Linked DNA regions of Tamandua tetradactyla. The protein of the gene in region 4 interacts with the protein of the main gene of each other region in a biochemical or structural test. Links are inferred from orthologs where the notes say so. Each region holds a gene or a part of one and is shown on either strand. Other genes may lie near its edges.

Region 1 (7,921 bases), on a different chromosome or scaffold from region 4:
GAATCAGCAAATTAAGCTCTTCAAGATACAGTCTGATCAGTGGTTTCTTACTGATGACATTATTGTGACTTCTAATTTACAACAGCAACAAATTAAGGGATTTCACAAACAGCCAAACAATGATGAAATCAAGGGTTCGTTAACACTCAACTACCTCTTCCACTACGCCAAAGAAAAATCTAAATGTTCCCACCTTGGCTGGCAATGTCTTTGTGGTATTTTTAATTAAATGCAAATATGTTTTTAAAATAGATTTCAAAATTCCCCTTTGAAAATGTGTTTATTCATAAAAACTAGGAAGCGAAACTGACAGTGATACATTTTAAACAAAAGTGACATTCAACGCTGTCTTCCTCGTGGTTGAACCCTGCTGAACATACAAGAAGCCAACACCAAATAGAAGTGAAAACAAAACCAGTCGTGGTGATATGAAATGTTGAGGGCTGGCTCTAAAAATATAAAAATAGACTTTGCCCACCAGGAGAGAAAATGGCAATGCATACATTCAGCCTTGCCTCCTTCCACCCAAGTCCTTTGGGGACCTCAAGTCCCAAAACAGACTTAGTGGATGGTCCCAAATGAGGTTACTGAGGGAGGAATAGTGTTCTCCTTCCCCCATTTCTCCTCTGCTCTTGCACAGACATTCCTTAATCCCACTTACATCCAAAGAGGACCGACGGCTTTTCCCAGGCATGTGGAAGCTCACAGATTTCAGAAGTTTCATCTCACCTTAAATCATAAATTCTAAAACCAATGTTTATCAAATAAGTTCTACATGATCTTTGTCATACATTATAATTTCAGAGATGGAGCTCAACACACTGACTTCTGAGTTTTTCTTTCCCACCTCCCTTCTTTACCAGCACTTTAAATCCATTCAATTTTGAGGGTACAGAACCATTCTACAGACTGGATAATTACCTCCCAACTTATCCCTTGGATAAGGTTGGGTTTCCAAGACTGTATTAATAATGAAATAGTATTTGTCAGGTCTTGCAAAGATGTAAAGCAAAAGCAACCTCCCTATGATGCTTTTCCCAGATCCCCAGATTGTCTTCACTTACCAACAACTTATAAATATTCCCTTTCTGGCTGGCAGCATCCATGGCTAGGTAAGACAAGGCGGGGATGTTGGGAGTTGGCCTCTGCCCGCAGGTTGATTTCGTTTAGAGCCAGGCTAATTTAGTTTTAGGCTTCAATCATGGACTGATGCTAATTTATATTACCTTGAAAATACTTAATTTGATAATGGGGTTGTGTGGTTTAAACCAAGGCAATTGGTTGTTCTTAGACCAAGCCCCATGCTGAGAGAGAGAGAGAGAGAGAGTGTGTGTGTGTGTTTTCCCAAACCTCACATGGCTTGAATACCGTCATGCTAAGACATGACAAACCCTCAGTTCAGGTCCCTGGGCAGCAGGTATGGACTGTGGCCCAGAGTTTCACTCCTTTCCTTAGCCACGCTCAATAACTCTTGCTGTTTCTCCTAAGTCGTGCTCAATAGCTTATGGCCAGAAACAATTATTTATCATCAATCTTCCAGCCTGCTCCTTGAAACATACTGAGGTATGGAGGTTTCCAAGGGTTTGAAAAGCTAAAGGCAGAGGATATGTACAAATTTGCAAGATGAAATAAGATTGCACTAGGAAGAAACAAGAGAGCGTGTTAATCTCTCTATTCAACAGTCATGGTTATATAAGAAACTGAGGTTTAAAAGAAGCCTTTATTGTTGGATTTATTCTGTAAAATCTGGCATTTACTGAAGGTACTTTTTACCTGTACTTGGTTAACCAATCTGTTGATTTATTTATTCAAATAGTGAGAAGTATTATATCCAGACAATGCAAGAGTACAGGAGACATTCATCCTTTGACCAAACCCTTCATTCACAAGGCAGACCTTTTATACATGTATTTTACTTTGTTTAGACACTTAATCTGACCACAGACAGAATGAATCTATATTTTATGAACTCTTGCATGTTCACAGACTGTCCCTGGTGTCTGACTTATGTAACACAAATGGTTTTTAGGTCCTTTCTGTTGAAATCAGTCCATCTTAATAGCAAGCATAGGGCTGTACATTAGCTAATATTTACCAAGGCATTCTTAGTGGGTTGGCAAAGCAACTGGATTATGTTACTGCCATTTTCCTTTTTTGAATCCTTCAGCATTCTTGTTCTGTGAACAATCCATTTTCAGGAAATAGACTTCTTGTAAATTTTCCACACATTTATTGTAGACTGAGTTTACAAGATTTCAAAGACAATAGAACCTCATCCCTGTTCTCAAGAAGCTCAGGGTCTAATGGGGAAGTGAGCTAGGTAAATCAGCAATTACAATGTGGTGTGCTCTTCATCTGAAAAAAAATCTATTTTCTGAAAGATCTCCACTAGATGGGTATTTACCCTCTGCTAAAATACTTTACATGACAGGAAACTCATTGCCTTTTGTATACATAAATTTATTTATCTATCATTGGCCAACAAATACCTATTAAGTCTTACTATGGGTCCCAGGCATCGTGACGGACATCAGGAAAGCAATTCCTTACCAAGCGAGGCCAGCCCTTGTCATTGTGATGGTTCCCGTGAAGGGTAGGAGTGGGAGACAAGCAAATCAATAAGCCATTAAAGGCAGGGGAACATGGGTCATGGGCCATGCTACAAAACAGTGGTTGCACTCAGGGCAGCACCAGTTCTGAGTAGGAACTCAATCAGTGACTGTTGAATGGTGATAAATCATCAAGGTAGACATAAAAGCCATGAGTTTGTGGTCACTTGTATTGGCTTTACAAATGATGGTTCCCCATCTAAGGGAATCAAGTCCTTGGCCACATAGCATTAACCACAGTCCTAATAACTGTGTGTGTGGATGATTCAGGTGGGGGCATTTTAAAGAGAGCACAAAGGGACTGAAAGCAGTTCCTTGTCAATATTTAGAGTACTAGGGGCCTTGGTGAGAAATCAGACTGGAGAGGCCATGCTATAACATCAAAGACATTTTTGTTATAAGCCTAAAAGAAAAACTAGAATAAAGAAACTGTAGTCCTCTTCAGAGAAAACTCACTATTTTTCTAAATAGGTCTGAAGTCTCTTCCACTTAACAGCCCTTCAAATTCCTGAAAATAAACATATTTTTCCCCTTTATCTCCTTTTCTCCATAAAAATGCAGTTTTCATCTGCATTAACGTCTGCTTTAACCACACTCTGCATATTAAATGAGGTACCTACAGTTTGTGGTCACTGCTGATATTTCGAGAACCAGAAGGGAGGCTGTTCCTTTGCAGGCAATGACCCCAGAAGAATCCACTAAGAATTTAAGATTTCTTAAAGTTTATCACACTGCTTCCTTCCCATCCCCAGGATACTTAGTGGGTACTACATCAGAAAGAAGAGGGCAAATAGGTGCTGGTTTTACTACCTCTTACTTAGGATTACTCAGGCTATTATTTATCTCTGTAGATGAAAAAGTATTTATTATTAAGCTGCCTTTTAGTCAAGCCTCACACAACTCAGACTCAACCTTAGTTAACTTCAGAGTGTTCTTGAGAGTTGAGTTTATGTTAAAGAAGTAGGAAGTAGGAGTTATGGGGACCCAAGAGCAGGAGTCAAATGTTTTTCTCTACTCCCTTTGCAGTTGTGGTGGAACAGAAAATCCAAGTTTCCATGAAAATGAACTACTTTCTTTCAGGCCAACAGTCAACTAAATTAACAGATGTTTCTTGAAGCCCCACCATGAACAAGGCTAATGGATGGGATTATGGGATCTGATCTCTGCCCTCTTAGTCAAGTTATTGAGCAAGCATTCTCTGTATTGAACTCCTACTATGTGCCAGATGCTATGCTAGGAAACAAATGAGGTAAAAGACCCTGCTCCCAAGGAGCTCACAGATAAGTAATCTTATTGAAATGCAGCCAGCAGCCTGCTCCCTGGGAGAGGGAGGACACCAAAGTGGAGAACAAACAGGCTGAGTGTCACGCTTGAATTCTTCTGACACACCTTTGCTCAGGAGCAGAACCAAATGCATCTGATTGCTACTGCAGAGGATTTCCTGTTTTCTATGAAAGTAATCTCAAGGATTTGCAAACAGAGCCCCCAAGGAACAGAAAGTCAACTAGCTCCTCTGACTACCCAGGACCTATGGTACACACAAAAAATTTTGTTTGGTGATGCAGAGAAAAGTTACCTCTGATGACTTTGGCATTGTCAGTTAGTTCTTTTGGGGTCAGCACAAACTCTACTTATTTAAATTTGGAAAGTCCAACGCCAGCTCTTTTCCCTAGCTTCATGGGCATGGAAAGGAGCATTTGGACCTCACGATTCTTTCAGGCTAGGCTCGGGAATGTACTGCAGGAGGACTCCACCTTTCCCTCAGAGTGAACACACTTCAAGGCCTCTCTGCTATGAAGTAGGATTATGTTCAGGGCGGAAATGCCACACAGGCCTTCCCAGATGCCTCGCTCCTTCCAGAGCAAAAGCCAGGAAGGACAAGGTCTGATTGCACTGGCACTCTCACAAGGCACACTGTGCTCTGTAGACAGCACAGGAGTAGATCATTCATGTAAGCCAGAGGTGTGGCACGCAGGTGGGCTCAAAAGAGGATAGGAGAGCTGGCCCAGGAAAGCCTACGATTTAGGTCACAATCAGGGCAACATGGAAGGAAAGACCAGCTCAGCTAAGGATAGACATGGATTTGATGGGGCAAAGGCTTGAGCAAGTCTCCTTGCTTTTCTGAGCCTCCATTTCTTTACCTTTGTGGAGTGGCTATAATGATATTACTTTCAAAGATTTACAGTATACTTTAATTGCAATATCATATTTAAAGTTCCTAGAACACAGCAATTCTAAGAGAGCATGACAAAGTTCTGGCAATAGGTATATCTATGAACTGTAGTGGTTTCAGAGCCTGTCCTCCCAATGCGGAATGGAAGACCTGGGAAGTGCAAATGTGTTGTATAAAGGGCTTGTCTCTAATGAGAGAAGAGAAGAAGGAAGAGGGAAGAAATAACTGCCCCTGACAAGGTTAGGCAGAGGTGTGGTATGCAGGGCAAGGCTGTTCTGTCCTGACCAGGCATCCACTGGGATTTGGATTGTATCACTGCAACCCCATATGCCCTCTGAAAAAGAGATGCACGTCCCCAGACATCCAGCACATCTACCACAATCCCAAATCCTAGGAAGTCCTTTCCAACATCTTTGAGTGAGTCCCCTGCCTCCTGGGTCTCTCTGGCTGCCACCAGCAAGAAGCTCACCTTGCTCAATGACAGGCATGACCCAGGTGGCCTTTGGGTGTAGCACTTGACACCACCAAAGGACATATGGGCACCCAAATTAAGAAGTGTATCTAAGAGGCAACAAAAGCTGTTTTCAAGCTGCCTGTGTGAGCCAACCCCATTCCTTTCCATAAGCCACACATGCATACATGCATTTGTACACCTGCATGCCCACACTTCGCACACACATTTGCTTTTGTATGAGGTGGTGAAGAATCGAGGAAACAATCAATTGAGATACCAAGAGTCATTAAATACAAAATCTTCAGGTTCAGATTTTAAATTTCATCTAAGCTAACTTGTTCACCAAGGGCATTGATCATCCTAAAAATAAAGCCCGTAGCTCTCTTCATGACTCCTGCATGGGGCTCCAGAGGGAAGCCTCAGAAGGTATGCCATCCCCTTCCACGCCCCCCACCCCCACCATGTAGCCAGCCTGGGAGCTGGGCACCTGAGCCCAGGTAAGGTGACTTGGAGGTCTGGAGGTGGTGTGTACTGGCCTTAGAGTCAGAAGCCAATGCTTTGGAGGCTGGGCTTTTATTTGTGTGTACTTTATATATTGTTTCCTAGTGTTCATCATCATTGTTTCTGAAATTATTTTGGAAACACCCCCATGTCTCAGCTGTGCAAAGAATGGTGGATGGAGGGGATGCATTATCTCTGCCTGGTAGGGAGTTTTGAAGACACAGCAGTGCAGGTGGGGGTGGGGGCTGGTGAAGAAGGTTGGGGGTGGGTTAAAGTGAGCAAGCCCCAGGGGACAAGAGAAACTCACAGCCACAACCCAGAGCTGGGCCTCCTGGGTTCCTATTCCAGGGATTTTTAAAGAATTCTTCTCTTCTAAACTTCAGAGTTCTGCACTATCCTGGAGGAAAGCGCTGCCCTCTTGGATGTGATTGGACCAAGCCTGGGCAAACAAGGTAAACCCAGGCCAGAGCGGAGGTGCTCAGACTGAACTCAACGAGGAGAGAAACGGGGCTGAGGAGGCCCTCCAGCCAGTGTAAGATAGGAGTTACCGCAGCCCTGAGAGCTTCAGGACCTGTCCCCAGCTCCAAGAGACATGTCCAATTCTGTGGAAAGAGCGGCCCCTGGAGGCGAGAGACTCTGGGGTCCGAGAGCTTGGGGCCAGGCACGGTGTGGTCTCTTTACGTTCATGACCACATTGAAATCTCACCCTGGGAGGTGGGGAACTGAGACTCAGAGACGTTCGACAACTTGCCCAAGGTCACAAAGCAGAAAACCCAAAGAGCAAAGATTAGCATCTAGATCCGCCTGACTGAGAAACCCTCGCCTTGAGCCTGAGGGCATACTCAAATAGTCCTAAACCAAGTCGGAGCAAGGCAAACATTTACTCAGCTCCTACTTACACAGTGCTGAGAAAAGTGAGTTTCCATATATTTCCTTGCTCCCAGAGCATGTTCAATATTCCCAATTTCAGTTCTCCCAAAATATGGGTGGTAGATGGCAAGAGCTGGGGTAAGGGGACCAAGTTTTGTTTAGATACCAAACAGAAAAGGATGGGAGAAGGTTTGCGTTGGTGAAGAGGAGGGGAGGAGATGGGAAAGGAAGGGAAAGGAAGAAAAGGGAAGGGAGTGGAAATTAGTGGGGGGCGGGGGGAGGAGCAAACTTTTATTGAGTGCGGAGGTTACACCTAAGCAACAGACTGACGATATAAAGATAAGACACATTTAAGGCTGTCCATCCTCATGCCAATACAAAGTCTGTGCTGGGTCTCTGCTGGGAACTCCTGGGGCTCCACTCTCCCACCGGGCTAATTTCTTCCATGTCATTTTCTCAGAAAGAAACTTAAATGTCAGTTTCGCAAAGAAAGGGGTTTCCAGGCTGCCCTCACCCCATTTAAATCTGGTCTTTCTCTTACAATTACATTTGATTTGTAGCACTTATAGTCATTCCTAGTTCAGCATTTCTTCTTGTACCGCTCTGCGGGCAGCAGCCACATCTGTCTCTACCGCTGCATCCCCAGTGCCCACTTAGCCCGGTGCCAGGCAGAAAGAAAGCTCAATAAATACTTACCAAATTAACAAATAGAGGTAGTAAGGTGTGAATGACTCAAGGTGTTCAAGTTTTTAGCACTCAGCCGAAAGCCACTCTCTGATGGGCCATTGGTCTCCGGTCTCCACATGCCCAAACACTTATCCATCCTGCCTTTTTCCAGCCTGGGTGGCCCAAAGCTTGCTCCCTTAGAAGTCAAGGTGAAAGATGAGCCACTTGCCTGCACCTGACAAGGACCAGGAGATGATTTTCAAAGCTTCATGTATGTGTGAAACTTGTGGCCTGTAGGAGCTGCTGGGCTGGGGTTTCCAGTGTTTGCCAGCTTGTCTTTGTCAGAACTCAAGGGTTGGGGTGAAGGTGTGCCAGGAAAGATACCTGGTAACCCAAAAGAAAATAAGTGCTGCATTCGAATGGGTATTTGCAGTCTGGAGAAGGAGGGCAGTTCCCTGCAGAGCCCCAAGTTTCCATCAGTCTGTACCAGGTACTTCATGGAAAGGGGAGAAGGGCCACTTCCCTCTCCTGGGGACTCTGACTTCAACTCAAGTTCTCAGATCTCCACCTACACTTGAGCTGAACCTTCCTAAGAATCACTCTCTTGATAAGTGGATTCTGGTTTCTCATGAACTCACAATTGAAAAC
Region 2 (7,693 bases), on a different chromosome or scaffold from region 4:
TGGGGTTTCTACCCCCTGCCCACTGGCTCCCAGAAGAGGAGGAAGCCCAGAGCGGAGACGTGGGGCCTGAGGCTGAGCACACAGAGGGTGTAAGCAGAGCCAGGGCAGCAGCCGAGCCTCCTGACTCTGAATCCGCGGTGCTTTCCACTGCCCTACATCTGTGGGTAATTACAAGTCCCAGCTCGTCCTCCCAAGAAATGGCTGTCATCCCCAGAGGAGGGAGGCCTGCCTGATAACCACGGTTGTGAGAGGAGCGGCCTGTCCAGATGGGCTTCTTCCCCACTCAGGAGCAAGCCAGGGCCCAGGCGGGTCTTGGAGCAGAAGGTCAGACCTGAGACAAGACTGAAGTTGCGGGAGGATGGAGACTCTCTCCCTCTGGCCGGGGCCTCCCTGCATAGCATGGGGCTTTGGATTCGGGTAGACCACAGCTTAAATACCAACCCTGCTAGGTGTGTGACCCTGGGCAAGTCACTTAGCTTCTCTGAGCTCGGTATCCTTACCTACAAAACAGGGCTAAAATCAACACTGATCTCAAAATCCTCACAGGCCTGCTGTGAGGATTGAGGCCTGTGAGGTACCAGACTCTATGCCTGGCACGGCGTGAGTGCTCCATGATGAAACCAACACGCCTGATATGTCCACAGATGCTCCTGCCTCCTGCTCCGAGGAAGGGGAGGGCTATGAAGAGCTCTTTGGAGGGAGGCCTTGTGCGCTCTGGGGCTCACAGGCGTGGGCAAGGACACCCCTCCCTCCTTGCAATGGGGAAATGTGGCATATAGGAATTACGTGCTGGACACTTAAGGGAAGGCAGGAGGCCTGGGTTCTGGTCTCCCACTTGGGAACAGAAGATCTGCAGCCAGTCCCTCCTCTCTTTCAACAGCACGTTTTCCCAGCCCCACTTCTGCCCAGGGCTGGGCACAAGATGGGGAGACCTGAGGCTGGCACTTTCTCTTTGTTATGAACTGAACACAAACAAGAGAGGGCCAAGCGGGTGGTCCACGGTGGCTCAGCCGGCAGAGTTCTTGCCTGCCATGCCGGAGACCCGAGTTAGATTCCCAGTGCCTGCCCATCTAAAGAAAAATAAAAGAGAGAGAGAGAAAGCCAAGCAACAGGGTTCCAGCACAAAGTACAAGACAGTTGCTTGGGAGTTCAGAGCTGAGAGTGACCCAGGGACCGAAAAAGCCAGGAAGGCTGCATGGAGGAGGAAGGTGTAGGGAGTGGCCTTGAAGGAAAAGTGAAGGTGATGAGTAAAGGCCTTCCAGGTAGGGGGAAAGGGGAGAGCAAATGCCCACAGGCAGGATGGTATAAATTCTTTCTGGGGAGCCTGTGATCTGCTTGGCAGGAACAAAAGGCCCAGATTCAGAGTAGTGAGGGGGCTACCACCTCTCCACTCTCCACCATCACTAGCTCATGTGTGGCTATAGTTATGTGGCTGCTGTGAGCCTCATTTCCTCATGTGTAAAGGGGAGTTTAAAAACAGCTCCTGCTTCTGGGGGCTGAGTGTTGCACAAGATCATTTTCATAAAGCCCTCAGCACAGTGCCTGGCATACCCCAAGTATCAATCAGTGGCAGCTGTTATTAGGGGCTGGGGTTTTCTACAGGCCCTGGGGAGCCACAGAAGGATTCTGAGCAGGAAGCTGGAGGGATCAGATTTATGTCTTAGAACGGAGCGGAGAAGGAGCGGAGCTCAGGAGGCAGACGGCGAGTAGGCCTGAGCAGCCGACTGGCACGGGAGGAAGGGTTTTGCCAATCAACCCCCTCTTCACACGGGGACCCCCAGATCCGACAGCCAAGCCCCAGCCCCCAGTCCCAGCCACGCAAACAGTAGGCTGGGGCCCCCTTTGCTACCCTGCCCTCGCACTTTCCCAGCCCCTGGGGGTTTGGAAGGACATCTTAGGAATCCGGAAAATTTGCAAATCCATTTAAATCCCCAGAGGTTGCCTGGCGGCCGGCTGGAAGAGAGCCAGTCCCATTCTTAGGGACAAGGCTTGGGCCTGGGGGTAGGGGCTGGGTGCCTGAGGTCCATGTACCCTGTTTGCCATCCCCCAATTCCCCTCTCACGCCCCTCCCAGCTCTCCCTACCCCCCACAGATGATGCTGTGTTTTGGAGGCCCCAAGCTGCATCCCACCAGAAACCACTGGAGGTTGTTGTTGAGGAAGGGGCAGCAGAGTTGCGGAGGCAGAGCCCACCCCGGAAGCGGCCTGAGCCGGGAAAGGAGATAACGGGCTCCTCCAGCCCTGACATCACCTGCAATCTCTCAGCCTCCTCCCATCTGGTTTTGTTAAAAATATTTTTCTTTTTCTGACCTACAAGGAGGTGCAGGATGGAGCAAGGGGACAGGGTAAGGGGCTACGGCTACCCCGTCTCAGCACTTACCTGGCTCTCAATGCCTTCTGGTGTGGACAGAGTCCCAGGTTCTGGGCTGCCACCGCCTCCAGGAAGTCCTCAGTGCCCTCTCCCTCTTATTAGGAAGACTGGTAGAGTGGAGACAGGGCAATGGGTGGGCAGAAAGGCAGGCAGGGCGGCTGCAGGATCCAGGAGCCTCTGGACAATGAAGGAGTGGGAGGGCTGCAGGGGTGCAGAGCAGCCCAGCTTCACCTCACTCCCAAAGCATCCTTCGGGAGGGGCCGAGCTGCCAAGAGGGGCCGCCCTGGGTCTGGCTGTTTGCACTGGGCACGGTGCAGGCTGCTGTCTGGCGGCTGGTCCGAAGGGGCCAGGCTCACTCTTTCTCGTTGTTGTCCTCTGTGGCTCTAAGTTGCTCCCGGAGCAATCCCACGTCCCAGACAGGGCGGGCAGGGACTGCCGGGCCACTGGCAGCCCCAGGAGCTCACACCACTGTGGGCTTCCCTGCCCCCCCACTTTAGGGGAAAGGCTGCAGGGCGGCCTCCGATTGGCCCAGCTGGGAGAAGGGGGGAGGCAGGGCAGGGAGGGCGGACGCGTGCGTCTGTTTTCAATTTCACGTTTTTTTCTCTCTCTCTTTCTTTTCCCCCAAGTTTCTTGTTTTTCTTCCTCTTTTCCCCTCTGCTTGCTCCCTCCCATCTCACTCTCTCTCAGGATGTGAAGGGATGTTTAGAAATTCCGCAGCCCACACCAGCCAGCCGCTGAGTCACTTTTATTAAAGAGTGGCCCAGCCCCACTTGCCTATTGCCTGTCACGGTGGTGGCTCCTCTTGCCATGGCACGTGGAGGCAGGGAGGCACATTCTCTGTGCCTCAGTTCCCCCTCTGTAAACGGAGCTCTGGTGAGCCATGTGGGTGATTCTGCAAACAAGTATTACTGAGCACTAATGAGCCAGGCGGGGAGCAAGGGATGAGATTGCAAGTAAGACACAGGCTGATGGGGAGACACACAGTGATCAAGCAGGTATCCCCGGGAGGACAGGGAGCTAAGAGGGCACCTAAATGGGGCCTCCGGGAATCGGGGAGTACTTCTGAGAAGAGATGGCTTGGATTATAAGTCACTTATCAGAAGAAGAAATCAAGGCCCAGAGCTAACTTGGAGCAGAGAGGGAAAGCACACATCTTCAGATCTCCAGATGTATTCTTCCTATCATTTCAAAGCCTCTGGGGGGAGGGGCAGTAAAAGACTATTTGTCCCATTTTACAGATGAGGAAACTGAAGCCTAGAGGAAGAAAATGAGCTGCCCAAGCTCACACAGCAACAGCAGAACTGGAGCAGAACTGGTCTGATGAGCCATGTGATTGAAGGGGCATAGGTTATCTGATCCTAACATACATTTCAGAGTAGAACAGTTCTCCTGCTCTGCCTTCTTCCTAGGTTACCCCCTCCCTGTCTCTCTTTAATTCAGTCAAAATTAACAGATATTTTTAAGTAGCTGGTATGCTCTACTTCCAGCTTCCCTACCAGGGACTGCTGAGGCTCCCTGGGTCCCCTGGCTAGGCCTCTCACCTCCCACACTCTTCTTTTACCTTGGCCTCCTTGCCCTGACGATGTCTCTAATCACTCCCTCCTAGCCCTTAGATGCTAAAGGGCTAACAGTTTAAGAGCATTGCATTGAGCCCATTTTTGCCCCCACTATTTGTGCACATGGGGAAACTGAGTCCCAGAGAAGGGAAGAAAGGAATCCCAGGTCACACAGGTAGAGCTGATATAACCCAGGGCTCCTTCCCCTCTGCCCTCTGTACCTCTGCCCACCCCCTTCTCCTCCTTTCTCCCACCCAGCCCCCTGTTCCCAGGGCAGGGTTTTGTTTGAGCTGGGATTCCACGCCAATGATGGTAATCTGTCTTGTGATCATTCTTGGTCCTATCCCAGTAGGGATTGCCTGGCCTAGCATCTGGACTGGGCTGCACGGAGAGAGAAGAGTCCTCAGGCTGGCCCCATGCCGTGGGGTGGGGAGGCCATGAGAACCTCCCAAAGCCCAGGGCTTGGTGGCAGCAGAATTTTAGGGGAATGTAGGGGGACCCCAGAGATCACAGTGTTAGACCCACACAGGACTCTTTATGCCCAAAAACTCTCTGAGGAATTTGCGGCTCCCCTTCTGGAACTTGCCTAACCATTCATCTCTGAATCCTTGGCCCAACTGCTGGGACCAAGACAGCTGAGGGGGTTTAAGGAGGCATTTCAACTTCCTAGTCCCCATAAAAGCTGGCCTGGGAGTCAGGAGACCCATTCACGTATCTGTTAGTTGACCTTGGAGAGGTCGCTTGTCGTTCCTGAGCCTAAATTTCATCATCTGTACATAACAGAGGTGAACTCGCTATACCTGAAAGCCCTAGGTTTGCTCTGCTGCAATTTCCCTAAGAGCTGGACTCTGGCTAGGGAGAGGCGGCTGATGAGCCCCGGGCAGGGGGACAGCTGGGGGCCAGATATGTAGCGCAGAGGGGAGGGGGCGGCTGGTGGTGGCTCCCTAGGGAAGCTGGCGGCCGACAGTTTCCGGCCAGCCCAGCCTTCCGCTGGCCCATCTGGAATCATTTAGCCCCTACCACCATTAACCCTTGGTGGGCACTAGGGCTATGGGGCCTCCTCTCAGCTGAGAAGGGGTTGGTGCTAAGCCACATGGAGCACCACAGGGCACTTGCTGAGAGCTGGACAGTTGATGCCGAAGGGTCATAAGAAGGCAGGCTTTGGGGCCAGAGACAGACCTGGGATCAAATCCCAACTTCTCCACATCTGAGCTATATCACTTAAATTCCTGAGCCTCAGTTTCCTTATCTGGTAAATGGAGAGAATCCAAGGACTGACTCATAAAACCCTTGCAAATTAGCACTGCACTTAAAAGGGTTTAGTACAGTGCCTGGAAGTATAATTATTGAAATAGTGAATTTCCCTCATTTGAATTGCCACCAATTACTGTGTGTGCCTAGGCTGAGCCCTCTCTTCTCTGGGCCTCAGTTTCCCCTTGTGTACTCTGAGAGGGCTACATGGTTGCCACAAGGGGAGCTCAGCACTGACATGCCAGGGTGGTCAGCATAGGCTCAGCCCCATTGCGGACAGGACGAGCCACAAGCATTCCCCTGCCTGCCCAGATGCTGGGAGCCCAGCCCACCCAGCTGATGGCTTCAGACAAGACTGGCCTGGGGAGGGCTGGGCTGAGAGTGGGTGGGCAGAGTGTGGAGCACGGGAACCCTGTTCCATGCTGGGAACATGATGGGGAGAGAGGTACAGGGGAGAGGAGCCCTGGGCCTTGGGTTCAGCATCTCCCCTCCCCGCAGCACCCTGGTACTGCTCAAAGGTTGAGTTCCAACCCAGCTCTGCCACTTCCTAATTGTGTGACCCTGGCCACTGATATTATCTGAGCTCTCTGAACCTCAGTTTCCTTACCTGTAAAGTGGAGATAAATGTGCCTACTTTACAGGGCTGTTAAGAGACCTGAATAAGCCACATCCAGAAGGCGTGTGAACAGAGGACTAGAGCAGAGTGAGAAAACTCCACCAGCGGTGCCTGATTCTCAGGGGTCACCAGGAGCGGCTGTCACAGAAGTCCACTACCAGGGCTGGAGGGGAACGTGTTCAACCCGCTCATTTTACAGCCAGGATGACTGAGGCCCAACGAAGCAATTTTGCAAGGCCCTACAATGTGTCACTGGCAAAACCGAGCCTGGAACCACAGCTTTTGCCTAAACTCTGAGGCCCAAGCTTTTCCCTGAAGGAGGGAACAGGGCTCAACTGACTCCCCTCCTCAGACCCCCACCCACGCTTGTCAGAGCCGGAAGCCACAGCTCTCAGTGGGGCAGGGGGAGGAGGGTGTCCGGAAAGGGAGCCTGAGTGGGAGAATTCCCACCAGGCCGGCTCAGCGCTCACTCCGGCAGGGCCAGCGGCCACCACATCTGGCTCTCCCACGCTCCCAGACGCGGCCCCACCCCCACCGCACCCACACTCCCCAGGCACGGGCCAAGGAAGCAACACATATGTCCCAGGCATCAGTGCCGTCACCTTGGATGCCAGGGCCTCAAGTGCTCCAAGAGCACAGCCACTGCACAGGCGTGGGCATTGAGGTCCCGAGCATGGAAAGAACCTGCCGGAAATTAGCAGGGAGAAAGAGACCTGGAATGCAGGACTCCTGACTCCAGCTCAATGTCTTTTCATCCTTTCATGCCCCGTGCAGGTACACCCCTGTGCCTGCAGCCTACCGCCACAAAAGGCACAAAGTGGAAGCTACCCTCCTTCTTATCCCCTGGATACTCAGCTTTTTCTTTTCTTTTCTTTTTTTAAAACTCGGAGCTTTAATGGTCATTTAATTGAGCAACTTAAGAGTCCACTGTCTACAACAAAGACCTGTGGCACAAAAAGACTCCAAACAGGAAAAAAGTTTCCATGGGGATATATATCACACAGCATCGGTGCCCACTGCCTGGACACTGACACTGCAGGCTGGATGGGGCCTTAGTCCTTGGAGACCTCAGGCCATATTCCCACCTTAGGTTCCCAGGGCTGCCCTTAGTGGACAGACGGCAGCCACCAAGGCCTGCGAGGGTTGCAGGAGGTAAGGGCTTTGAGACACTGCCCACCTAAGCCTCTCCCCAGCCTCTTAGGTGGCCTCCACTTCGGTGCTCCAGGACCACAAGGAACTGGGGCAAGTCCTTCTGGTACACACAGATGGCTCAAGGATCCTTAGCACAGCAGGGCCCAGAGGCCACACGTCTCCTCCTCATTGGACACACTAAGGCCCAGGAGGGCCAGAACGTGCTCGAGGATGTATAGCAGTGCTGGGCTGGGACCTCTGACTCCCAACAGCTCATCTAGGCAACAGAAGTTAATTGAGCACCTACTTTGTACCCTGCCTCACAGAGCTCACATACAAACACCGAGATTAGTAATATTAAAGTGTGAGGAATGAGACATAGGGAATAAGGGCTTGGTGGAGAGGGGTCCTGTCTAGGTAGAGAAAGGCTTCTCTGGGGAAGAAACATTTCCACTGAAACCTGTAGGTCGAGAGGCCACACACCATGTGTGGGGGGTGGGGTACGGAGGCAGAGGGAACAGCATGTGCAAAAGCTCGGAGACCCGAGAGAGCTTGGTGTATTGAACAGAAAGGAAAGAAGGAAGGGAAGGGACATGGTGGAGTAGAAAGCTGGATGGAGGCAATCAGGGGCCAGGTGTCAGGGCCTTGTGGACTCCAGAGAGGATTCTGGCTTTTATCCTGAGGGTCAGGAGGGGTCACTGCAGCATTTTAAGCAGGGAGTTGATGAGATCAGGTCACTGCAGTACAGTATGGAAGACAGGCCAGGGAGG
Region 3 (7,676 bases), on a different chromosome or scaffold from region 4:
TCTGTCTACCCCAAAATGCCAGAAAGCAAAAAGAAATATTTATATAACAATTCAGTAATAAAAATCATCCCTTAAATCCTGATTTCTGGGTTACAACCCCCAGTCCACACTGTGCTACAAAAACATCAAAATTCCAATAACATCATTTGTATGAAAGTTGGTTATTGGCATCATTTGGGTAGGCAGCTACCAGTTCACAAGTTTAGAAAAATGGAATCTGAGAAGAAAAGCAAACGCCAAAATAGAAAACAAAAAGTAGATTTTCTCTACGAGGCGGGCCTTGTTATCCAGCAGCCACCTCCTGGCTGGCTCATTTCAGCTTTCCTGATTGCAGGGAGAAGGGTAAACAAAAAATCACTTAGCTGCCAGAGACTATAAATTTCCTCGAAAAGCAAAAGGTAAGTAAAATAGGACAGCCAACATTGCCCACAATTGTCTTCAAAATATCCTACCTCCCCTTTAACACTTAAATATAATATGCAATCACAATGCCAACAGAAGGAAGTCCTTAAAGCAGCCAGTCATCATTCTGATTCAATCATCATCACCTGGAGTACTTGTTGAACCCGAACCCTCTGAGTTTCTCATTTTCCTCTATCAGTCTTCAGTGGGTCCCAGAGAATTTGCACTTCTAACAAGTTCTCAGGTGATGATGAGATGGACGGTCTGAGTGCCATACCTTGAGAACACCTGCATTAAAGCATGGTAATAGATGTTTCACTTTCATCCTCACCAAAAGCAAGAATTTCCTTTGCAAAACTCCAGCATCCATGAACAAGGGTCTATGTGAAATAGCTTTCTCCAGGCACTTAACATCAAGTACCCCAAAGCAGCAGCCCACTTCAGAGGTTACAAACAGGTTCTGGAGCCAGAACATCCTGCATTTGGATCCTGCTTTGCCACTGTGTGATCCTAAGCAATTTATTCAAACTCTCTGGGCTTCAGTGCCTTCATGTGTAAAACAGAGTAATTAGTTCCTTCCCCTCTAGCTGGACACCTACCCTAGTCATCACCTTCCCCTGTCCTTCATTGCTTCAGTTCCTGCCCTGCAACTACATTTTGAAAATCCACACTTAGACAGTGCTACAAGAGTCCAGGGCCCAACCTGAATTTAATGAGAACGCCTGCCTGCCTGCCTTCAGGTTCTTATTTATGGGCACCACACCCATATTCCTTCCTCCTCTGCTCCCCTGCCTCAAGAGAAGGGCCAAGAGAATTGCGAATAAACTACAATTAAAACAATAGTGGGCGCACTCAACCCCTTGGGATCCTGTAGGTTTTCCCATTTAAAAAAAGAAGGAAACATTAGTCATCAGAATATGTGGAAAAGACGAAAGGGCAGAGATCAGGAAACAAAAATGTCTAATAATCATCCACCGGCGATTAATGCCCAAAGGTTCAAGTCTACGTAGTTAGTACTCACAGCTTCTAGCTACAAACCTGTACTTAGGCAAGTTCAGTCCTCAGACCCCATTTCCTCACCTGCTTGTTTACTCACATAAGAAACATAGCTCTAGGTCCCTCCCAGCTCAGCCACCCTTCCTGACTCCCTGACAGGACCACTGACATCAAAATCACAGATCCTCCCCTGAGACCTAGAGATCCGGGCAAGACCTGTACTACTACAAGGTTACAGGGATCCCCCATCTCCAAAGTTGTTCTCAAAAGTAGCAAAAGTGGAAGTGAAAATTTTAGCAATAGGGAAAGAGACTAGCCAAAGACATACTCCAGTCTTGGCTATGGTCTCACAGTTGAAAGCAAAATGTGGAAGCGGATCTTTCTAGAGATTAATGTTCCTATTCATTATATTAAAAATAAAGTGCCGTTTTACCCACGTGAAATTTGCCACAACTAGGTACCATGGTACAACACAGACTCAAACCCACAATGAGATACACACGGACACAAGAGAGAGAAGGACACACACACACACACACACACACACACACACGGATACCAAGAGAAACTCGAGAACAGAGAGACAGACACACAGCGGGAGCTCCGTAGAGTTGGAACGCAGCTGTCACCTAAGGACTATCGGAAGGGGTGGGGACACTATTGGGAGATGGTGCTGGTCCCGGGCACTAATTAGACTCTGGATCAGATGAAGGAAGCTGTTCATAAAATGCTTATTCAAAAAAAGAGAAAAAAAAAAAGTGCAAATCTAGCGCAGAACTGCGAATCCCTGAGTGGTAGGTGGGAAGCCAGCTAGGGATGAGAGTTTGGGGATTCCAGTACTTTCTCCACCTGGGAAGGCAATCTACCTTCAGGCAGCCTGGGTTTTCCGCGTCCTGCAGCTCTTGCTCCCGGACACTGAGGACCGGCGGGACTGAGAGGTACCGCGGAGAGAGGGGGAGACCCGCACGTGCCCTGCGCCCTCCCAGGTCCCGCGGCTCCGCGTCAGTTCCTGGGTCCAGCGCCCAGCCCACGGGCTCCTCTCCCGCCCGCGCCGCACACCAGGGCGCAAGCAGGCGCCCCGCGGCCGGCGACGAAGGCGCGACGGGCGGCCCCACCCGCGGCAGGAAGCCCCGGCGTGGATCCAAGGACACGGGCGGAAACCGCTCGCGACGCTCGGACCCAGGCCCACCCACCACCAAAAGAAACGCAGAACAGGAGGCTAGAGCCCCGGGAGAGAGCCTCCGCGGTCGCGGATGGCGGAGCGGCGGTGGGGGGGGGAAGAAGGGAGGGGAGAAACGGACTGCCAGGGCAGGATGGGACAGGTCGTGCCCACCGGCACGAGCGGCGGGAGGGTGACCAGCTCCGGCGGAGTGCGGCGGCGGGGCTGCTCACCAGAAGAACACGCGCGAGCAGAGGTTCGCGTTCTGCAGAGGGTTGGGTTTCACGTCCGGGTACACCGGCAGCATCTCGCCGGTAAGGAAGGGCGGGTACAGGCCGGGGTCGCGTTGCTCCCGCGACACTTGCGGCTCCCGCCGCTCCCGCTGCTCCTGGTGGCCTCGGGTGATTCGCTGGAATACCGAGTCTGCTCCGCAGCAGTCAAAGAAACACCCGCTTCCGGAAGCTGGCCGCCGGCGGCACGCCCCGTCCCCGCCTCCCAGCCCTCGCGGCCTCCGAGAGTGCCCCCCACGCGCCTGGGGCCCGGGAGCCTCGTGCAGTGGCCGAGCGCGGCCCACGGGCCACCTGGTAGTGCAGCTGGAAGGGATGGCAAGCTAAGGTAACAGGCTAAGAGGCCTGGGGTCTGCGCGCAGTGCAAGGCGAGGGGGAGCCGACGTGGCTGTATGGACGCGGTTAGGCAAACAGCAAAGCGTGGAGAGCCCGTGCAGTCAGCCCGCACGAGGGAGAGGTCCGGCGGCGCGGAGGCACCCACGTGTTGAGACCTGAACGTAAGCTTCACTGAAGTTCAAAGATGAGCGCCAAGGCACCCACACACAAAGTGGCGACGGGAGGCATCGGCTCCTGCCCTGCCTTGCTTCTCAGAAGCGCCCCCCGAGGCTGGCATTTTAAGAAGATCTGGCGAAAGCTGCAGCTTGAGCAGCCCTCACCCCGGCGCGGCGCGTTGACCTCACCAGGAGCAAACAAGTGTACTGTGAAAGGTTCTCCAACCTGCGAGCCAAACACATGAGCTCGTGCAGTCAGGGTTTCACACAATATCTTTGTAGAGCTGCAAAGCCCTAAAAAAATGGAAGTCAAAGAAGATTAGCAAAACCCAAATGATTTTGGAGGATGAGTGAATGCTGTCACTTGGGGGCCAGGCTTTTGGCATTACAAGCTGCATTGTTTGGTGGACTTCTGTGGAGTTTTTGCTGCTCTCTTAGACTGGGAAAGGGGTATATGAGGGGAGAGAGACTATCTTATGATTTCTTTGATTGCTCTCTCAGACTTTATAATAACAGCAGCAAAAGGAACATATTACAGAACACCAGTTATATGCATTTCTGGGTACCTTACCTCTTTAATTTCTTGCAAAACCCCATTGTAGAAGGTATTGTTATCCCTATTTTCAGGTGAAGGTGAGGCTCAAGAAGAGAACTCGTCTAAGGTCCTAAGAGTTAGTAAATGATGAAACCTAATTTGGATTCAAGCTAGTATGTGTGGATGGTCAGTGCGTATGAAAAGTACCCAGAAAACTGGGTTGAATGATTGTAGGGATGAATGAACAAATTGTGTTCCAACTCATAAGTCTTCATTATTTGTGTAGCCACCTTACCAGCTCAGCAGCTTCTCTTCCCTTCAGCCCTCAATGAAAAAAAGATCAAAGATTACATGTTGCTGGTGGTTATAAAATCACTTTATTATTATTTCTTATAATTTCTTATAATTTCCCTTTGTTTCAAATTAGTAAGTTAGATTTTAAATTTAGGTCTGAGTAGAGGTCAGGTATAACTCAATAAGAAACAGAGGCACTAATGCATGAGAAAAGATAGTTTATTACCCACAGGTCCCAGAGATAGGGGTGACATGAGGGATTGACCAGAAGCCTGATCAGCTTGAGTGACTCACTCAGCAGGTGGGGAGCACACAATCAGAATGAGAGGGACCAATGGGCTGGTGCCTTTATTGCTATGCAGAGAAGGAGGTTATAGATTTCCTATGGGAGTCAAGGACTGGTTAAAATGAACATGAACCCTTAGGAGTCCAAGGGCATTGCAGATGGGTAGCAGATCATTTGAAATCAGCTGTGGGCTTGGGGTCAGGGATGTGGGTGGTGTTTGTCACATATGTGGGTTTCAGCTCTGGGGGAGTTTATTCTCCAGGGCTGGAAAGCTGTTCATTAACCAACTAAAATCAGTGCTGAAGCTTCACCCAAGTGAAATGGATGCTGTGATGGTTAAGTTCATGTGTCAGCCTGGTTAGGTTATGGTGTCAAGCTGTTTGGTCAAGCAAGCCCTGGTCTGCTTGTTGCTATGAGGGTACTTCATAGGTTTAATATTAGTCAGTTGATTGTTTCTATGGTTGACTACATATACAAGCAACAAAGGAGACTGCCTTCAGCAATGAGATAAGTCTCTTCCAATCAGCTGAAGACCTTAAAAAGAGGACTGGTGATTTCAGCAAAGAATTTCTGTCTCTACTTCAGCCATCCGTCTTCCCCTGGGAAATTCATGGAAACCTTCATTGGAGTTCCCACCTTGGTGCCTGCCCTATGGAATTCAGACTTGCCCATCCCCCCAGTTGCATTAGCCAATTTCTACAGTCTCATAATATTTAAATATATATATCCTGTAGATTCTTTTCACTGGAGAACTGTGATTAATACAGATGCCTAGGCCACACACAAAAGTTTTGATAGTTATGACACCCTTGTACCTTAGTTAAAAGAGCCTTATTAAAAACAGCTTTAATGGGCAGGTCATGGTGGCTCAGTGTCAAGAGTTCTCACCTGCCATGCCAGAGACCTGGGTTTGAGTCCCAGTGCCTGCCGATGAAAAGAAAAAAATAGCTTTTATGGTGATTGGTGGTGATGGTGGTGGTGGTGGTGGTGGTGGTGTGGGGGAGGAGCATGGTCCTGGAATCAAGCCTTGGTCTCTCACAAGGAAGGTGAGCATTCTACCACTGAACCACTCATACACCCCTAAAAACAGCTTTTAAACAGAGGCTTATTGTATGCAACACCTTTTAAAAGTCAAGCATAGCACACATCAGAGTTACACCCCCTAGAATGGAGCACCCGCACGGCTACGTCCTCCTTGGCCACCAGGCACCCACTTTCACAAGCATCAGCCTAACATCCCCAACCTGTGCCCATACATGCCTGAAACAAATCACCATACTTAGTGTTCTAACCCATGCTCTGCTCCCTGCTGTACAACCATCCCACAAGCACAAGGCCTTCGACTACTGAAAGAAATTTGAAAGACATTATAAGAGACAAAGAAGGATACTATATACTAATTAAAGGGTCAGTTCACCAATGTTTATGCTCCCAATCAAGGTGCTCCAAAGTACATGAGACAGACATCAGCAAAACTGAAGGAACAATAGATGTTTCAACAATAATAGAAGGAGACTTCAATATACCACTCTCCTCTATACATAGAACAACCAGACAGAAGATCAAAAAGGAAATAGAGAAGCTAAATAACTTGATAAATGAATTAGACCTAACAGACATATATAGGTCATTGCACCCCAAAGCACAAGGTTAGACATTCTTCTGTAGTGCTCATGGAACATTCTCCAGGATAGATCATATGCTGGGGCACAAAACTGGTCTTTATAAATGTAAAAAATATAGAAATTATTCAAAGCACTTTCTCTGATCAAACTGGGATGAAGCTGGAACTCAATAACCACCAAAGAAGGAGAACATTCACAAATATATGGAGAGTAAATGACACACTCTTAAACAACCAGTGGGTCAAAGAAGAAATTGCTAGAGAAGTCAGTAGCTATCTGGAGATAAATGAAAATAAGGATACGACTTATCAGAACTTATGAAATGCAGCAAAGGCTGTGCTGAGAGGTAAATTTATTGCCTTAAATGCCTATAGTAAAAAACAAGAAAGAGCAACAATCAAGGACTTAACAGCAAACTGGAGGAAGAGAACTGAGAAGCAACATCAAACTAAACCCAAATCAAATAGGAGAAGAGAAATAAAGATTAAAGCAGAGATAAATGAATGGAAGAACAAAATAATAGAAAATCAATAAAACCAGAAGTTAGTTCTTTGAGAAAATCAATAAAATTGATGGGCCGCCATTAGAGAAATGCAAATCAAAACTACAATGAGATATCATCTCACACCCACCAGAATGGCCATTATCAACAAAACAAAAAATGACAAGTGCTGGAGAGGATGTGGAGAAAGAGGCACACTTATCCACTGTTGGTGGGAATGTCAAATGGTGCAACCACGGTGGAAGGCAGTTTGGCGGTTCCTCAAAAAGCTGAATATAGAATTGCCATACAACCCAGCAATACCATTGCTAGGTATCTACTCAAAGGACTTAAGGGCAAAGACACAAACGGACATTTGCACACCAATGTTTATAGCAGCATTATTTACAATTGCAAAGAGATGGAAACAGCCAAAATGTCCATCAACAGACGAGTGGCTAAACAAACTGTGGTATATACATATGATGGAATATTATGCAGCTTTAAGACAGAATAAACTTATGAAGCATGTAATAACATGGATAGACCTAGAGAACATTATGCTGAGTGAGACTAGCCAAAAACTAAAGGACAAATACTGTATGGTCCCACTGATGTGAACCGACATTAGAGAATAAACTTGGAATATGTCATTGGTAACAGAGACCATCAGGAGTTAGAAATAGGGTAAGATAATGGGTAATTGGAGCTGAAGGGATACAGATTGTGCAACAGGACTGAATACAAAAACTCAAAAATGGACAGCACAATACTACCTAATTGTAAAGTAATTATGTTAAAACACTGAATGAAAAAAAAAATTGATGGGCCGCTAGTAAGACTGACAGAGAAAAAAAGAGAGAGGATGCAAATAAACAAAATCAGAAATGAAAAGAGGTGTGTTACCACAAACCCCAAAGAAATCATAAGTGGATACTATGAACAACTATACACCAACAAACTAAACAACTTAGATGAAATGGACAAATTCCTGGAGACACACAAACAAGCTACATTGACTCAGGAAGACATAGAAGATCTCAACAAACCAAACACAAGTAAAGGGATTCAATCAGTCATCAAAAATCTTCCCTCAAAGAAAAGCCCAGGGCTAAATGGC
Region 4 (6,968 bases):
CGCCATGGCCTGACCCCCCACCCAACCCCGGGCCTGTTCCAGCCTCAGAGAACTGGAGGTGCCCGCAGGTCCCCGGCCTGGCCTGGGTCAGGCTGTCTGCACAGAGGGAAAGCCCTCCCCCACGCTGGAGGCTTCTGGGGAGGGGAAGAGATGGCGCGTCAAGACCCCACATAGCCGGCCTCGTCCAGCACCCACAAACCCCAAATCTGACACCTCTTCCACCCAGTGAGGCCACCCAGTGACCCCTCTGGCACTGCCCCCACCCCGCGACCCCTCCTCCCCGGTTCTCCTGGCCTGGAAAGTGGTCAGGGAGAAGGGGGAGCTGCTCACAACCCGGGGCGCCAGCAGCCCCGATTCCCGGCCTGAGACCCACTCATCACCCACCCCTCTGGGGCCCCTCCTCGGCTGCCCTGACCACAGCGTGTGCTGACTCCACGGACGCAGGGCTGGCCCTCGCAGTCCCAGGACTTCCAGCAGCTCCGCCCCAGGGGGCCCAGCCACTTGGGACTGAATGAGCTTTGTGGGACAGAGGACCGGGCGTGGGGAGGGACCGGGGGAGGGTGGGAAGAGCAGCCCCAGGGGCCGAGGCGGAGGTGCCCGGCAAGCCCGCCTACCTTCCCGCCTGCCTCGGGGCCCGCGCTGCCCGTGGCCACCCAGTCCGGCTTCGGCTCCCAGGGCTCATGGGGGGGCGGTAGCCCCCGCCGAGCCATCTCCTCCGTGCAGGTGAGCTGCCGCCGGCGCAGCTCCTCGTCCGTCTCCGTGTCCACCACCAGCAGCCGTGTCCGCCCTTCCACGGCCTTGATTCTCTGCACCACCTGGCCCGGGGAATGGGGGGTCAGCTCCGGAGCCCAGGGAGGACGGCACCCCGCCCGGGGCTGGCCGGCAGGGATGGGCGGCTGGACCGAGATGCCTGCCGGGCCCGCCCCCCACCCCCAGCCTCGGTAGCTCCCGCCCTCTTCTCCCAGAGCTCCCGACACCCGGGACTGGTTGCAAGGGCCGGGGATCTGAGCAGGGCTGGCAGTAGCCCAGGGTCCTCTCCAGGAGGGGCCAGGCAGGGGGCTGCAGGGGTGGGTTAGCTGCGTGAGTCGGTCAGTCTGTCTGGGGATGAGGGAGAGGGTGAGGGTCTGAGCTTCAGGTTTTTGGTCTGTGCATGCATGGCCTGGGGCCTGGCGCTCAGGCCGGGTTTCAGGAACAGAGCAGGGTCTCCCCAGGCCCGGTCTAGAGGGATCTTTCTCAGCAGCAGCATGTAGCCCCTAAGCCCCTGCCTCTCCCCATTTCCGTTAGCCACAGACTGGGACCTGGCATCTGCAGAGAAGCAAAGAGCTGGGCTCCTCTGACCAGGTGCCCACGCCCAGCTTGGCAGGGCTCAGACGGCCAGGAGAGAGGGCTTCAGGCCCCAGAGGCAGAGGGGGATGGGGCCGGCCCACCTGTGGAACGGGTACTAATGGTTAGGGCTGCTACGTGAGTCTGTGAGCACCTGTGACGTGCCTGGAGCACGCAGGCAGCTGCGGGCATGCACGTCGGGGTTCACCCGCAAGGAGAGGAAGCCGTGTGGTAGGCGGGACCACGACCCCACCCCACCCCATGGCCTAGGGGCGCCGCCAGGGCCTCCCCATCAGCTGCTGGGCAGACGTCAACAGACGGGAGTAGCTGAGCCAGACCCATCTTTGCCCTGGCTTTTCTCTCTCCCTGTGACCCCAAGACCCCCCACTCCCCTCCTGTGTGACCCTGCGTAGGTCAGCCACATTTCCAAGCATGTGTCCCATCTATCAGGTAGGAACTGTAACTGCCCCTCTCCTCCTGGAGCAGCTGGTTGGGGCACTGTGGTCCTGTGTTTAGCTCTGAGAGGCCAGTGCCCCAGAGGCCCCGGGTAAGCCAACTCTACCTGTCCCTACCCCGGCCCACCAGGTCGAGCCCCCCAGCCCCTGACCCCACACTCCTCCAGCAAACCACCGTATCCAGTTGATGGTCTAGAAGGATACGAGGAGGGCACACAGATGGACAGATGAGGGTCCCTGGGGTGGGAGAAGGAGTTCAGCTCCTGGCCCACCCAGACCTAGCCACGTGGACAGGTCATGACCCTGCAGGGCTGGAGGACCCAGGCCAGCGGGGCAGGCACCCCCCAGGAGTGAGAACCCACTGAGAAGACCCCTGCCCTCCCCCTCTGGCCCGTGCCCTGCAGCTGCAGATAGGGGCTGTGGCCAGCGGAGCTAACGGATGTGCTGCCACAAGCAGCTGACCCAGACCCACTTGGCTGGGGCACACACGGCCAAGTCCCCGGGGCCCAACATGCACACAGCCACACGCAGGGGAGTGCACACACAGTCGGACTCACACTCACCTGGGCATGCAGCGCTGCACACACACACAAACCTGTATACATCCAGGCGTGAAGACTTGTCCACGCGCTTGCACACACATGCGCACGCGCTGGTGAGTCCATGTACACACTAGCCCTGGCTGTGAACACTGTCAGAGATGCATACACACACACAGATGTATGCACACGCGGGTGACCGGCACACTCACACACACACCCAGGGTGTATGCAAACGTAAGAAAGCACGCAGGGTCCCCAAGTGGGGACCCACCAAGACCCCTAGGATGCAGGGCACCCCTACACTGGGCGCCGAGGCCAAAGGCACCTAAGCAGAGAAGGCCCGAGCCGCAGTGCGGCCCCTCCCTGCCAGGCGGCACCCCCAGCCCCCACCCCCGCGCGGCGCAGGGCTGAGCTTCCTGGGGGGTGGGGGAGTCTAGGAAGGAGGCCGGCAGCCCCCACTCCCCACCCCCCATCCCCCCCACCGCTGCCTCCGTGGCGCAGGCCGAGACGCGGGGGTCCCAGGGATGGGGTCCCGGGCGGGGGCCACCCACCTGGTGGTGCGTCTCTCCCTCCACATTGACCCCGTTGACCTCGACCAGGCGGTCCCCGGCGCGCAGCGCGGCCGCCTCTGCGGGGGAGCCGGGCTCCACGCGCCGGATGAACTGCCCGCGGCGGCCCTTCTCGCCGTGCAGGTGGAAGCCGTAGCCCTGCTCGCCGCGCACCAGGCAGCACAGGCGCGGCCGCAGCGGCTCGGGCCCGGCCATGGCGCCGCGGGGCCCCGGCCCACCCCGGCCCACCCCGGCCCACCCCGGCGCGGCGCTCACTACCCGCCCGCCAGGCAGGGGCGCGGGCGCGGGCGCGGACGGCAGCGGCGGCGGCTGATCCCGGCCCGGCGGCGCTCGCGGTGGCTCCGGCTCCGGCTCGGGGCGCCTGGGGCTCCGGCTCGGCTCGGCTCGGTGGCGGCGCCGCCCCCCGCGCCCGCCCCTTCCCGCCTCCTCCGCCCCGCGGCCCCCGCCCCGCGCCCGCAGCCCGCCCGGCCCCTGCCTCCACGGCCCGCCGGCGAGGGGGTGTCTGCGGGGCCGCCCGGACCCCTCTGCCTTGCCCCGGGCTGGGCAGCCTTTGCCTCTGGGTCCAAGCACGTTATGGAGCACCTACTCTTTGCGCGGTTTGGAAGCAGGCTCTTAAAGGGGTGAAAAAAAGGGGCTCCGGGCCTAGGGACCCCACGCAATGCCCACCCCCCTCCAGAAAGCCCTCTCTCCCTCCCTCTCCCCTCCCCTCCCCGACTCGTCCTGCTGTCCGACCCCGTTCCCCTGTCTCTGGGTCCTTCCATTCCCCCACCCAATTGCCCCCGCCCAGCACAGAGTCCCCGGGGGATGCAAGAGGGGCTCAATAGTGATATGGCCAGGGAGGTGACCTGGTGACATCCTGGGCCCCCGGGGAGTGTTGGTGCTATCTGTCTGGGTATAAACATCCCCCCCCCACCCGTTCCGTCCCTTTTCTGGGGCCCCTCACTTTCTCTCACACACACCCCGCCCCAGGTCTTGACTGTGACTCTGCAGTGGCGGCTGGAATGGGGTGGGAGAGGACCCTGCACTTGTCTGGCTGGGACACGGGTGTCTGCGCCATGCTTCCCCCCACCCCCCACCCCCAGCGCTGGCAGTGGCCATAGGAGCCGCTGCACGCTGAGCAGGACGCTGCCGGCCGGCACCCCCACTCCACCCCAGCTCCACCTGCCTCAACAGTCCAGCACCCCTTCCCCCAGGCGTACGGCCACAACCACAGTGATGAATCATTTGTGCTTTGGGGTGCCCCCTGTGGACCACACGCTGTATGCATTTCACCTGGGGCACCCTAAGGGGCCCCGGCCATTTCGCAGATCAGGAAACTGAGCTTGGGAGAAGGAGAGGGAAGAGGCTTAGGCAAGATTCCCAGCTAAAGCTCAGGCAGTCTCTGTAGCAGGGAAACAATCGAGTCACAGGCACGCCCTCTGCCCCCTCGGCCGGCCCCTCCCAGCCCTGCCCGACCCCCTGCACATACTTGGTCCCCCGGAGGCAGGCATGGCCACCACAGCCAGTTCCCCATCAGGGCGGCAGCGGCAGGCTCAGCTCAGACCTGGCAGCTCTCCTCCCTCCAGCACCCCAGGCCTGGCCTCCCAGCCCTCTCCCTCTGGTCAGCCTCCTGGGCCCAGGCCCCCTGGGTGCTCACATCCCAGCAGCTGCCCCTAAAAGCCACTCAGGCTTCAGAGCTGCTCTCTCGCCCCCATCTTTGCAGGTCCCAGAGGATGCCACTGCAGTCGGGCCTGGCTGCGTGCCGTCATGCCACGACTGGGCCTCCCTGGCCCCACCCTGGCCCTGCTGCCCCTGCAGGCTGAGGACGCGGGTGCAGGCAGTCCACGCTCTACCCGAGTGGGGCCTGGGTGTTTGCCCACGGCAACCAGGACCACCCAGGACCTGCCAGGCTGGAGCTGTGGGGTCACACCTGCAGGGGGGAGCTGGCTGCATGGGAGACCCTGAGCCAGGGGGGTGGGAGAGGAAGGGGCCCTGGCCCTCTGAGTCAGGGGGCTTGGAGACTTCTTTCCCCCACCCTCATAGGCTCTCAGATCAGCCCCAGGCCCTTGCTCGCCTGCTGGAGAATAAGTAAAGGTGGTACCAAGGGGAAGGAAGCAGAATAAGTACAGAGGCCCGGGCCACAGAAGTAAGGAAAGGTGCCCCCAAGGTCTGCCGGGCACATGCTCCTCAGGGAGCTTCTGCGAGCCCTGCCAAGGCTCCTGCCAGCTCCCTAGGCCAGTGGTGGGTGGTGACAGAGGCGTGAGTGGCAGAGGCACAGGTAAAGGCAACGAGGCCAAAGGGACAGCATGGCAAAGGCTCAGGAGTTTCCACCCAGCAGTGTCCAGGGCTGTACGCTGCTGGGGGGTGGAGACTGGGGACTGGGCATTGGAAGGGGGCAGTGAGGCAGCAGGGGCAGCGCCTTGGGGCAGGGCTCGGACTGACCCTGGATTTTATTTTCATTTTGTGGCTCTGGGTGTGGCCCGGCCCCCCAGGCCAGCAGCAGGCCACAAGGAGGTCAGGCCAGGGCTGATGAGGAATCCAGGTGACCCCACCCACCCACCTCTGCCAACTGGCTGTGCAGGCCTGCGGCCGGCTGCGCAGGTATGTCGTATGTCAAGACTTTCCGGTCCCTTCCCTCCTCTGGGTCGGGCCTGCATGCTGGGGCAGCCCTCCTCCGCGACGGGGCGGCCGCGGGCAGAGGCCTGGCCACCAACCCACGCAGGACCCTGACCGACGTCGGGGCGGGGGCGACCCAGGGCTTCCCGCTCGGGCGCCTCCTCCCTGACCGCGTCAGTCGCCTCCGCCCTCAGACCGCGCCGGGCCCCGGGCCTCGTTCGGAGCCCGCAAAGGGAGCGACGGGAGCGGGGCGGAGAGCAGAGACCCCGAGGAGAGGCGGGACGCCGGAGTGACGGCGAGGCGGGTGCGGAGGGCGGAGGGAACCCGCGGCCGGGCCCCGCCCCTCGCCCGCAACAGAAACGGCGGGGTGACACCTGCCGGCGGCGGCGAGGATTACATCACCCCGAGCGGCCTCGGACCCCGCCCCTCCGGCTTCCCCCAGGTGGGGGTCCCGGGGCTGAGGCCTGGGCTGAGGCCGGTTCCCTAGGGCTGATGAGGACGCAGGGGCACAGGGGTGCTAAGGACAGGTGGGCAGGAAAGCCGGCCTCCGCTTGGCGCCCACCTGCTCGGTTGCTCCCACCTTGGACCTGACACCCTCTCCCAGCTGGGGGTGCCTCTCCGCCACAGGAAGTCCAGACCCCTCCCCAGGTGGTCCGCCGCTTGCAGCCGAACGCGTGCACGGACCGCTCGTGCGGGGCGCTGGCTGAGCGCAGGGGAGGCTGGCTACCGCGGGCGCAGACACGGCACCTGGACCTGAGCCCAGGGCAGCCCCGAGGGACATCTAACCCCGCCTGGGGACCCAGGGGTCCTGCACCGAGGGAGGCCCTGGGATGTTCTGGGACCTGCCCAGGGTTCCTGCAAGGCATGGGGGCCGGGAAGAACTAAGGAGAGAGAGGGGCCAATGTCTGCCCTGTGGCCAGGCGCCAGAGCAGGGACCCTGTCCCTTAGGCAGTAGGGAGCCCTTGAGGTCTTGTGACACCGTGTTCTGAGGGCACAAGCAGGGGAAGACTGGGGAATGCACAGGCTTGGAGCGGGGAGAATGAGCGGCTGAGGCATCAGTGCAGGACCTTGTGGGGGGCTCTGAGGGAAGGGCTGGGAAGCCTCTGGATAAATAAAATCGGTCGGGGGTGGGGAGCACCCACGTTGAGGGGAGCAGGTAGAGAGAAGGGTGCACTCAGGGGATAAGGAACTGTCCTGGAGGGGAGAGGGAGGCTTCCCGAGGCTGAGGGAGAGTGGGAGCTGTCAGCTAGAGGGAGCTGGATCAGCACCACCACCCCCACGCCCCCGGTCCCTGCAGGCTGCTCTCAAGGGCCCCTGGGGAGACGTCTCCACTGCCGGAAGGCATCAGGGCATGTGCCCCTGAGGTTTAAGGTCTGGACGGAGTGGAGGCAGAGACCAGAGTGAGGAGGGTTGCAGCGGGCAGGGTGGGTGGAGGGGCCTGGTGGAGTAGGAGCAAGGACTGGAAATGCTAGAGGAGGGAAGAG

What was found.
Region 1: the proteins of NHERF2 (region 4) and KCNJ1 form a complex in vitro, tested with the Homo sapiens proteins (2 studies listed by BioGRID and IntAct, with this or other methods). The link is inferred for Tamandua tetradactyla from reciprocal best matches to the Homo sapiens genes NHERF2 and KCNJ1.
Region 2: the proteins of NHERF2 (region 4) and PDGFRB form a complex in vitro, tested with the Homo sapiens proteins (2 studies listed by BioGRID and IntAct, with this or other methods). The link is inferred for Tamandua tetradactyla from reciprocal best matches to the Homo sapiens genes NHERF2 and PDGFRB.
Region 3: the proteins of NHERF2 (region 4) and ABCC4 form a complex in vitro, tested with the Homo sapiens proteins (2 studies listed by BioGRID and IntAct, with this or other methods). The link is inferred for Tamandua tetradactyla from reciprocal best matches to the Homo sapiens genes NHERF2 and ABCC4.

The regions. Positions count from the first base shown.
Region 1 is NC_135334.1:7,766,274-7,774,194, reverse strand, and holds the start of KCNJ1 (ATP-sensitive inward rectifier potassium channel 1), read right to left. Parts: upstream 3,001-7,921; 5' UTR 2,983-3,000; intron 1-2,982. UniProt on the Homo sapiens protein: Inward rectifier potassium channels are characterized by a greater tendency to allow potassium to flow into the cell rather than out of it.
Region 2 is NC_135346.1:30,946,804-30,954,496, forward strand, and holds the start of PDGFRB (platelet-derived growth factor receptor beta), read right to left. Parts: upstream 3,066-7,693; 5' UTR 2,379-3,065; intron 1-2,378. UniProt on the Homo sapiens protein: Tyrosine-protein kinase that acts as a cell-surface receptor for homodimeric PDGFB and PDGFD and for heterodimers formed by PDGFA and PDGFB, and plays an essential role in the regulation of embryonic development, cell proliferation, survival, differentiation, chemotaxis and migration.
Region 3 is NC_135330.1:163,980,401-163,988,076, forward strand, and holds the start of ABCC4 (ATP-binding cassette sub-family C member 4), read right to left. Parts: upstream 3,018-7,676; 5' UTR 2,865-3,017; coding exon 2,791-2,864; intron 1-2,790. UniProt on the Homo sapiens protein: ATP-dependent transporter of the ATP-binding cassette (ABC) family that actively extrudes physiological compounds and xenobiotics from cells.
Region 4 is NC_135349.1:55,495,793-55,502,760, forward strand, and holds the start of NHERF2 (Na(+)/H(+) exchange regulatory cofactor NHE-RF2), read right to left. Parts: upstream 3,085-6,968; coding exon 2,872-3,084; intron 2,649-2,871; exon of another isoform or gene 2,444-2,648; coding exon of another isoform or gene 2,342-2,443; intron 816-2,341; coding exon 615-815; intron 1-614.